2 linked regions of the Cricetulus griseus genome follow. The protein of the gene in region 1 binds, or shares a complex with, the protein of each later gene. Links are inferred from orthologs where the notes say so. Each region holds a gene or a part of one and is shown on either strand. Other genes may lie near its edges.

Region 1 (3,986 bases):
AGTGATTTGCAAACTGCTGGATCTCAGACTCAACACTCCCAGTATATTTTTTCTTTTTGAGACAGGGACTTCTTGCATCAGTGTTCTCAACCCATTGGTCCTGACCCTTTGAGACCATAGGAAAACATGAGTATTTACATTATGACTCCAAACAGCAAAATTACAGATAGGAATGTTAGGGTTGGGGGTCACCACAACGTGAGGAACTGTTTTTATAAAGGGTCACAGCATTAGGAAGGTTGAGAACCACTGCTCTACATAGCTGTCCTAGCACTCACTGTATAGACCAGGCTGTTCTTGACCACCTGCCTCGTCTGTGTCTGCCAGGTTCTGGGGTTATGGGCATATGATGCCACGCCTATCCCTGCACCCCTAATTCTCACAGGCCCCAGGACCTCAAAGGTATTGAAGGCAACAGACTGTCTGGGGAGACCAGGAGGCAGCTGCACAAGAAGGGCTCAGGCTCTTTAATAGCACCCCTCCCACTTTCAGAAGTGCCTGGGCTGTAAGGCAGAAACTACACAACACAGCAGATGGGAGCCAGAGGGCCCAAGAGCTGGTGCTGGGACTCAAGGGGCAGAGAATGGACACCAACCAAACAAGGGAAGGTTTCCAGGGGAGGCAGGGACAAAAGCAGGCTGGCGACTACAGTAGTCCTGCAGGCAAGGCTGGGCCTGGGTGGTACCCACCCTCACTGGCTGGACAGAGAGCAGGAAGACCACAGAGGGAGGGCTGTGACATGTTACCTTAACTGGCACCTGAGCCAGGGACTGGGGAATGCCACCAGAATTATGGGACCCCAGAATCAGGCCTCTGTTACTGGTCCAAGGGGCCTCACCTGGGAAGAACACAAACATCTGGTCTGTGGGATCATCGTTGTGGGCCACCAGCACTGTCAGGTCTGTGCGCCTGGGTCTTCCTTCACTGGGTTTGTCCCCAAACTGAGCCTTGAACTCCTCAAGTGTCTGGTCCAGCTCATCCTGGGTCACCAGGTAGCCACGGTCATGACACAGCTGCAGAGACAAAGAATCACCTGTCTTTAGAGAGGAAATGAACACTCAGCATGAACTCCGGGACTACAGTGCCAGACCTATCCCTGAACAGCCTGGGCTGCTCGGGGATAGCATGAGGAGGAGCACTTAAGTGACCCAGCAGTACTGGCCAAGCCACAGTCTGGTCCCCAACCAGGCCCCACCCCACCCCAGCCTCACTGGGCAGGCTAGGGTAGATCCCCTGGCAACTTCCACCTCTCAGTGCCCCCACCCACTCTTCCTGTTTGGTCTTAGGCGTGATGAGGGAAGAGTAGAGTGTAATCCAGCATCGGGTTGAGGGGCAGGCCTGAGAGACCAGGCCCTGGGGTCCACCCAACGCAAAAATTAAAACTATGCAGGCCTCTTTCTCAACTGGGGTCTGGTCTGTCTCTTCCCTCTTCGTCTCCTTCTTTTTGTCTTTTGTTGTTCAGAGACAGGGTTTCTCTGTGTAGCCCTGATGTCCTAGAACTCCCTCTGTAGAACAGGTTGGTCTTGAACTCACAGAGATCCGCCTGCCTCAGCCCTCTGAGTGCTGGGATTAAAGGTGTGGACCACCACTTCCCAGCCAACCTAAGTTTCTTGGGACAGGGTCTCACAATGAAGCCCTGAGTGACTTCAAACTTTCAAATAGGCCAGGCTGGTCTTGAACTCAAGAGACTGACTGGCCTCGGGCCCAAGAGTGATGGGATGAAAGGTATGTGCTACCAGATTAGTATTTTTACCTTTTCTTTATTTTGGTTTCTTAAGACAAGGCTTCTCTACAAAGCCCTGACTGTCCTGGAACTCGCTAATGTAGATCAGGCTAGCTTCGAACTTACAGAGATCACCTGCCTGTGCCTCCCCAGTGCTGTCGTTAAAGGCTTCTCTCTGTCACTACGCCGGGGCAAAACTGTTTTTTGTTTTTTTCAAATATTGTTTTTCACTCTGTGTGAAACAGTCGAGAAAAGTGCGTCAGACCCGCTCAAACCAGGGTTACAGATGGTTGTGAGCTGCCGTGTGGATGCTGGGGCCTGGGCTAAGTGGGTGGAGGGCTGCCCCGCAGGCAGAGAACCCAGAGTCTCTCCCTCCGGCCCCCCATAAACACGGTGTGAGCACGCAGAGAACCCCGAGTCTCTCCCTCCGGCTCCCATAAGCGCGGTGTGAGCGCGCAGAGAACCCCGAGTTTCTCCCTCCAGCCCCCCATAAGCGCGGTGTGAGCGCGCAGAGAACCCCGAGTCTCTCCCTCCGGCCCCCATAAGCGCGATGTGAGCGCGCAGAGAACCCCGAGTCTCTCCCTCCAGCCCCCCATAAGCGCGGTGTGAGCGCGCAGAGAACCCCGAGTTTCCCTCCTCCGGCCCCCATAAGCGCGGTGTGAGCACGCAGAGAACCCAGAGTCTCTCCCTCCGGCCCCCCATAAACACGGTGTGAGCACGCAGAGAACCCCGAGTCTCTCCCTCCGGCCCCCATAAACGCGGTGTGAGCGCGCAGAGAACCCAGAGTTTCCCTCCTCCGGTCCCCATAAGCGCGGTGTGAGCGCGCAGAGAACCCCGAGTCTCTCCCTCCGGCCCCCATAAGCGCGGTGTGAGCGCGCAGCAGCCCTCCCGAGGCAGGGTGCGGGCTGGAGGCCGGCCGGTCACTCGCCTGCATGATGGTCTTGCGGATCTTCCACAGCCGGTAGGTCTCCTCCTCGTCGTCCATGCTGCCGCCGTCGCCCGGGAACCGCTGCGCCTGCGCCGAAGCCGAAAAGAGCTCCTCCCACTCCTGCGCACGCAAAGCGTCTGCGCGGAACAACGGAAAGCCCTCCCCTTCCCGCTCAGCGAGCTCTGTTCTGTCTTCCGCCTGGAAACGCGACTTCCACCTTAGGCTGCGTAGCGGGCAGCCCCGGCGATCCGCTGCGCGAGACCACCATCGAGAAAATGTCGCGATACTTGGCCGTCACAGCTTAAGAGTTCTCGAGAGGGAACTGGGCGCGTAGGCCACGCCTTTAACGCCGCCCTGGGGAGCCAGAGGCAGGCGGATCTCTGAGAGTTCGAGACCAGCCGGGTGTGCAGAGCGACAGGACCGCCAGGGCTGTTATACAGAGGAACCCTGACTCAAAAAACAAAACAACAACAAAAAGAAATGTCTATGTATCTTTTTCCTCTTTGGGGGGTGGGGTGGTTCACTGTGAGCCCTGGCCGGCCTGAAATTTGATATATAAACCAGGTTGTCTCAGTCTAGAATTAAAGGCGTGTACCAGCATGGCCAGCACTGGAAAACCAGATGCTCGCCATACCTCCCATTCTGTCCCGCCCGAGCTTGTCCTCAGAGTCCGCAGGTCATCTCTAATTCCTGCCTGGGAACCTGTGCTGACCCTGACTTGGAAAGGCAAGTTTCCAGCAAACTAGCGAGGCCCCCACCAAGTCTGTCTGACCACTGAACCCACTGCATGGGCTGCAAAACTGGGCTGCGCCTGGGACACCCTGGTTATAGAAGCCACAAACGCAGAGTAAGGGGATAGAGACACAATACGTTTTTGGAAAAACATATCTAGATCTGGGAGCAATGGTGGGTGCATTTGGTCCCAGCACTCTGGTGGGCAAATCTCTCTCTCTGAGCTCCTGACCAGACCCTGGGGGTTTTTGTGGGGTTTGTTTTGGTTTTTGGTATGGGGAGGAGCCCTTGTCATTAACTTTCAGGTGACAACAACCCTCTCATTCTTTCGGTGGTTGGTTTTGTTTTGTTTTGAGACAGGGTTTCACTGTGTAGCTCTGGCTATCCCAGAACTTGTCTGTAGACCACACTGATCTCTAACTCACAGAGATCTGACCATCTGACTGCCTCTGTCTCCTGAGTACCGGGATTAAAGTCCTGAACCACTACTTTCAGACAACTCTCTCATTCTCGGTGGTAATGAATGGGCAGAGCCTGAGTACCTGGGACATTAGGAAAATAATTGGTGCCACTGAGGGGAGTCAGTCCAAAGTGTAAGGATAC
Region 2 (4,084 bases), on another chromosome or scaffold:
ATAGGTCGAGTCTGCACACTCCCACTACTTCAGCTCAGTAACCCAGAACTGCCTCACACCGCTGGAGAAACCACGAAAAAAAGGGACATGGGTCAGTCATTCAATAAGCTCAGGGAATTTTACTGTAAGTAAAAACAGTTCCTACAATACTTTTGTGAGTAAGTATGCCTCTGAACATGTATAATTCAAAAAATTAGGACCAGAAAAATCACTCAGTGGGGAAAGATATTTGCTGTAGAGCCTGAAGATCTGAGTTCAAACCCTGAGAGCCACATGATGGAAGAAGAGAACCAACTCCTCAGATGTTGCCTGCTGATCCTGTGACCTCTACACGTGGCCAAATTGAGAAAGAGCCAGGCTTGGTGGTACAACACCTTTAATCCCAGCACTGTGTGTCTGTGGGGGGAGGGAGGCGGCAGATTAAGATGGATCTCTGTGAGTTAAAGGCCAGCCTGATTGATCCACACAGTGAGTTACAGGCCAGCCAAGACTACATAGCAAGACCCACCCTACCCCAACACCCAAAAAGAAAGAAAGAAAGGTAACAAAAGAAGATCTGGGTTGGGAGTGTGGCCTGATGGCACACTTGTGTTTCAGATGAGCAAACATGTTCAGGAAGAGGAAGTAGAAAGAGGAAAAGGGAAGGAGGAAGAGGAGGGAGGGAAAGGGAAAAGAAAACGATTTCTAGGGGGAAAAATCCTCCTAGTACAATGCCAGAAACAACATTTAATGTATAGCTGCTTTCTCCACTGCCTCAATAGATGGGAGGAAGAGTCATGCACAGCACTCAGGCACAGTATCAACACTCCATACGACACAGCCAGAAATCAGAAGTCAGAAACACTGATTTCCACTGGCAAGCTTCCTGTTTCCCCACCACCTAGATCCCTGCACTTACCTCTGCCTCCTCATGGTGCTCAATGAGGGCTTGAGGAGGAAGGTTGTATAAGTTGCAAAGTTTAGACTTTACCATGATGGGAACATAGCCAAGAAACTGTTTAATGACCCCTTTGGGGACTCCATTCACTGCCCAGCTGATGTCAGCCTACATGAAAACAAAAGAAAAAATAGACTATCTGGACCTGCAAGAATAAATGAATATATTTTTTTAAATGTTTAGATGTATTTATTTTTATTTTATGTACATGAATGTTTGGCCTTCCTGTATATCTATGTACCAGATGTGTGTCTGGGGCCAGTGGAGGCCAGAAGAGGGCATCAGATCTGCTGGAACTGGAGTTACTGGCAGTTGTGAGCCACCACATGGTGCTGGGAACCAAACCCCAGTCCTCTGAAAAAATAGTCAGTGCCTTTAACCATTGAGCCATCTCTCCATCCCCACAAGTGAGTATTCTAAGAAAAGAAAGAGGGCCATAGTGAATTGATTTTACATGTTAGGTTCAAAAGATACAATTCCTTAAGTTGCAACATTAAGAAAGCAGACCTTTCCTATAACCTTATAAGACATTAGCTTGAGTCTCAAAATGGTGCAGTACAGCCACCTCACATCATTAATGCTCACCGTCAGCCTCCCACGGTAGGTGCTCCTTCGGCCCCGGCACTCGGCTGGATAAACGTTGAGCTCTTTGCAGATGGTCCCTTTGGGCACTGAGGGTGGACTGATAACAGCATCCACAATAGTAAGAGATATTCGTTCATCTTTGAAAGCAAATTCAAAGGGAGGTATGGCCTGAAATACAATTCGTACTACTAAATCACTTGCATTTTTCAAGGCACTTTTCACTAAGACTCTTCGATGTCTATACTCACTGATGTCTATCACGTCAGTGGAACACATCTAAAAGGGACAACTAAAGCTACAACAAACTGGTAACTTCGCCAACTACTTAACTATACATAACCATTCACTAGGGGCCTTTGCATTTGATTGTGGGGCAGGCTCTACAGATACGGGAAAAGGCTGAGCCAAGTCTACCTTCTCCATACAGCAGGACAGAGAGAACTGCTGCTCTTGGGCAAGAACAGGGAAACCAGATGCTCTTAGCGCCATTCTTCATACTAAGCTTTTACATTTTATTCCCTCAGACTGAAGCCTGGCAATTCAAAGAATTCCAAATGACTCCCATACTTTTAAGTTTCAATCTGGCAGTCAAAGCTCTCCAATGCATCTCCATCCCCATCTCTCACAACGCAATTGTTCAGCAACAAAACCTCAGGGTAGTGTCCACTACATACATGGCTCTCCCTGTACCTAACCTCCCCCTGTAGGGAAGAACCATCCTCTTTCCTTGACCTTGTCTAAAGGTGGGCTTTCTAAACACCTGGATTAGTCGCACTTCCCTCCTGCCCCTGACTCAGTAAACGCTACATTTTAGGGCAGTTCTCAAGAGTACTGGCATTGACTGCCTGCTGGTGCTGCTACCTCTCTCTCTATACAATCAACAACCAAGAGGAGCACTCAAACCTGAGAGGCCTCTTAACTGGGGAACCGGCTACAAGTAGCAACGAAACGCTTTTCTCTCTGAGCTACCCAAAGCATTGCACGGTGAGTGCACGTCACTGTTTAAAGCCGTACAGCGGCCTCCCGGCCACCTCCTCAACCGCTGGGACCCTCCGGGCCCACTCGGGCCGCCGGTAGGGCTCCGGAGCCGAGGGCGCGCCGCTCACCTGCACCGCGTGGCTCAGCCCCTCCAGCACCGCATAGTTGAAGGAGTCCACGTGCGCCCGCGTCAAGTCTTGCAACGCCGCCTTTTGCTGCTCCGGAGGAATCGCATAGGACGGGTCGGTTAAGTGCTTTAAGCTCGGTCCACTAGGCAGGCTCCGCCACCGGCCGTCGAGATCCATGCTTCTGCCAAGCCGAGACCGGCGACGCCACTCGCAGCCGGGACCGGAGACCAGAACCACAACTCCGCTTGCAGCCGGCAGGAAATGGCCGGAGTCGCAGACCCCACGGCCTGCTGGGAAATGTAGTTCCTCTTGTTCCGGCCCCCCCCTCCCCCCCGCCACACACCCTGGGTCCCTCCATTTTGTAGGGCCGACTGGGAACCAAAACTGTTGCTTATTGGGCCGTTGAAAACTACACACAGAGACAGATTAGCCTCTTCTTCCAGATGTATCCTGCAAACCTTGCTAAAGCCCACTGCACTTTAGTGTGTAACTTCTGTGGCCTTTATTTGCTCAATCAGTCGATTAGAACCGATAGAACTATCTTCAAAGAGTCTCTTCTGTTGCTTTGGGCAGTTTTCTGATTACATCCTGATGCTAACCCTAAGAGACTCTGGCGTCTTGGCTTCAACCGAAATGCAGCTGTTGGATCCTAAACCTCTGTTCTCTCTACCCAACTCTTTATCATCTATCTATCTATCATCTATCTATCTATCTCATCTATCTATCAATCGATCGATCAATCCAGCCAATTATTGGTCTTTTGAGACAGAGGCTCTTATGCCATCGGTTTTCAACCTGTGGGTCACGATCCCTTTGACGAACCTTTATCTCCAAAAATATTTACATTTCAACTCACAGCAGTAGCAAAATTACAGTTATGAAGTAGCAACAAAAATAATTTTATGTCTGGGGGGTCACCACAACATGAGGAACTGTCTTAAAGGGTCGCAGCATTAGGAAGGTTTGAGAACCACTGTTGTCTGTAGTCCTGGTTGTCCTGGAACTCCATTTGTAGTCCAGGCTAGTCTAGCATAAACAGAGATCAACCTGCCTCCTCCAGACTGCTGGAATTGAAAGCCACCATACACAGCCCCGAGCTACTAATAAGTCAAGTTCATCACTGGGACGGCCAGCAGGAATCAGGCTATCCTACTCAACCCCCTACGCCAAAAGAAGCCACCCCAAACCACTTCTGGATAGAAATCCTACGGTATCAGTTTTTGTATGGGCATGTTTTCAATTCTCTTAAGTATCAGGGCTAAGAACAGAATTTCTGTGTCATTTACTCCATTCTTAACTTTGTGAAGTTCTGTGAAACTATTCAAGTGAGCTGTACAATTTAACACCCCTCTAGCAACATCCTTACTATTTTATGATTGTATCAATCTTATCACTTGTACAATTGCATCTATTTGTAGATTTTGATTAGCATTTCCTTAGAGGCTAATAGTGTCAA

Evidence for each region. Proteins that work in one complex are often made in the same cells at the same time.
Region 2: Polr2e (region 1) and Polr1b share a complex: the UniProt entries of both Homo sapiens proteins name them as parts of the pol I pre-initiation complex. The link is inferred for Cricetulus griseus from reciprocal best matches to the Homo sapiens genes POLR2E and POLR1B.

What each region holds. Positions count from the first base shown.
Region 1 is NC_048598.1:100,836,422-100,840,407, forward strand, and holds the start of Polr2e (DNA-directed RNA polymerases I, II, and III subunit RPABC1), read right to left. Parts: upstream 2,811-3,986; 5' UTR 2,709-2,810; coding exon 2,652-2,708; intron 1,038-2,651; coding exon 839-1,037; intron 1-838. UniProt on the Homo sapiens protein: DNA-dependent RNA polymerase catalyzes the transcription of DNA into RNA using the four ribonucleoside triphosphates as substrates.
Region 2 is NC_048599.1:49,468,452-49,472,535, forward strand, and holds the start of Polr1b (DNA-directed RNA polymerase I subunit RPA2), read right to left. Parts: upstream 2,806-4,084; coding exon 2,629-2,805; intron 1,691-2,628; coding exon 1,523-1,690; intron 1,354-1,522; exon of another isoform or gene 1,329-1,353; coding exon of another isoform or gene 1,146-1,328; intron 1,046-1,145; coding exon 899-1,045; intron 1-898. UniProt on the Homo sapiens protein: Catalytic core component of RNA polymerase I (Pol I), a DNA-dependent RNA polymerase which synthesizes ribosomal RNA precursors using the four ribonucleoside triphosphates as substrates.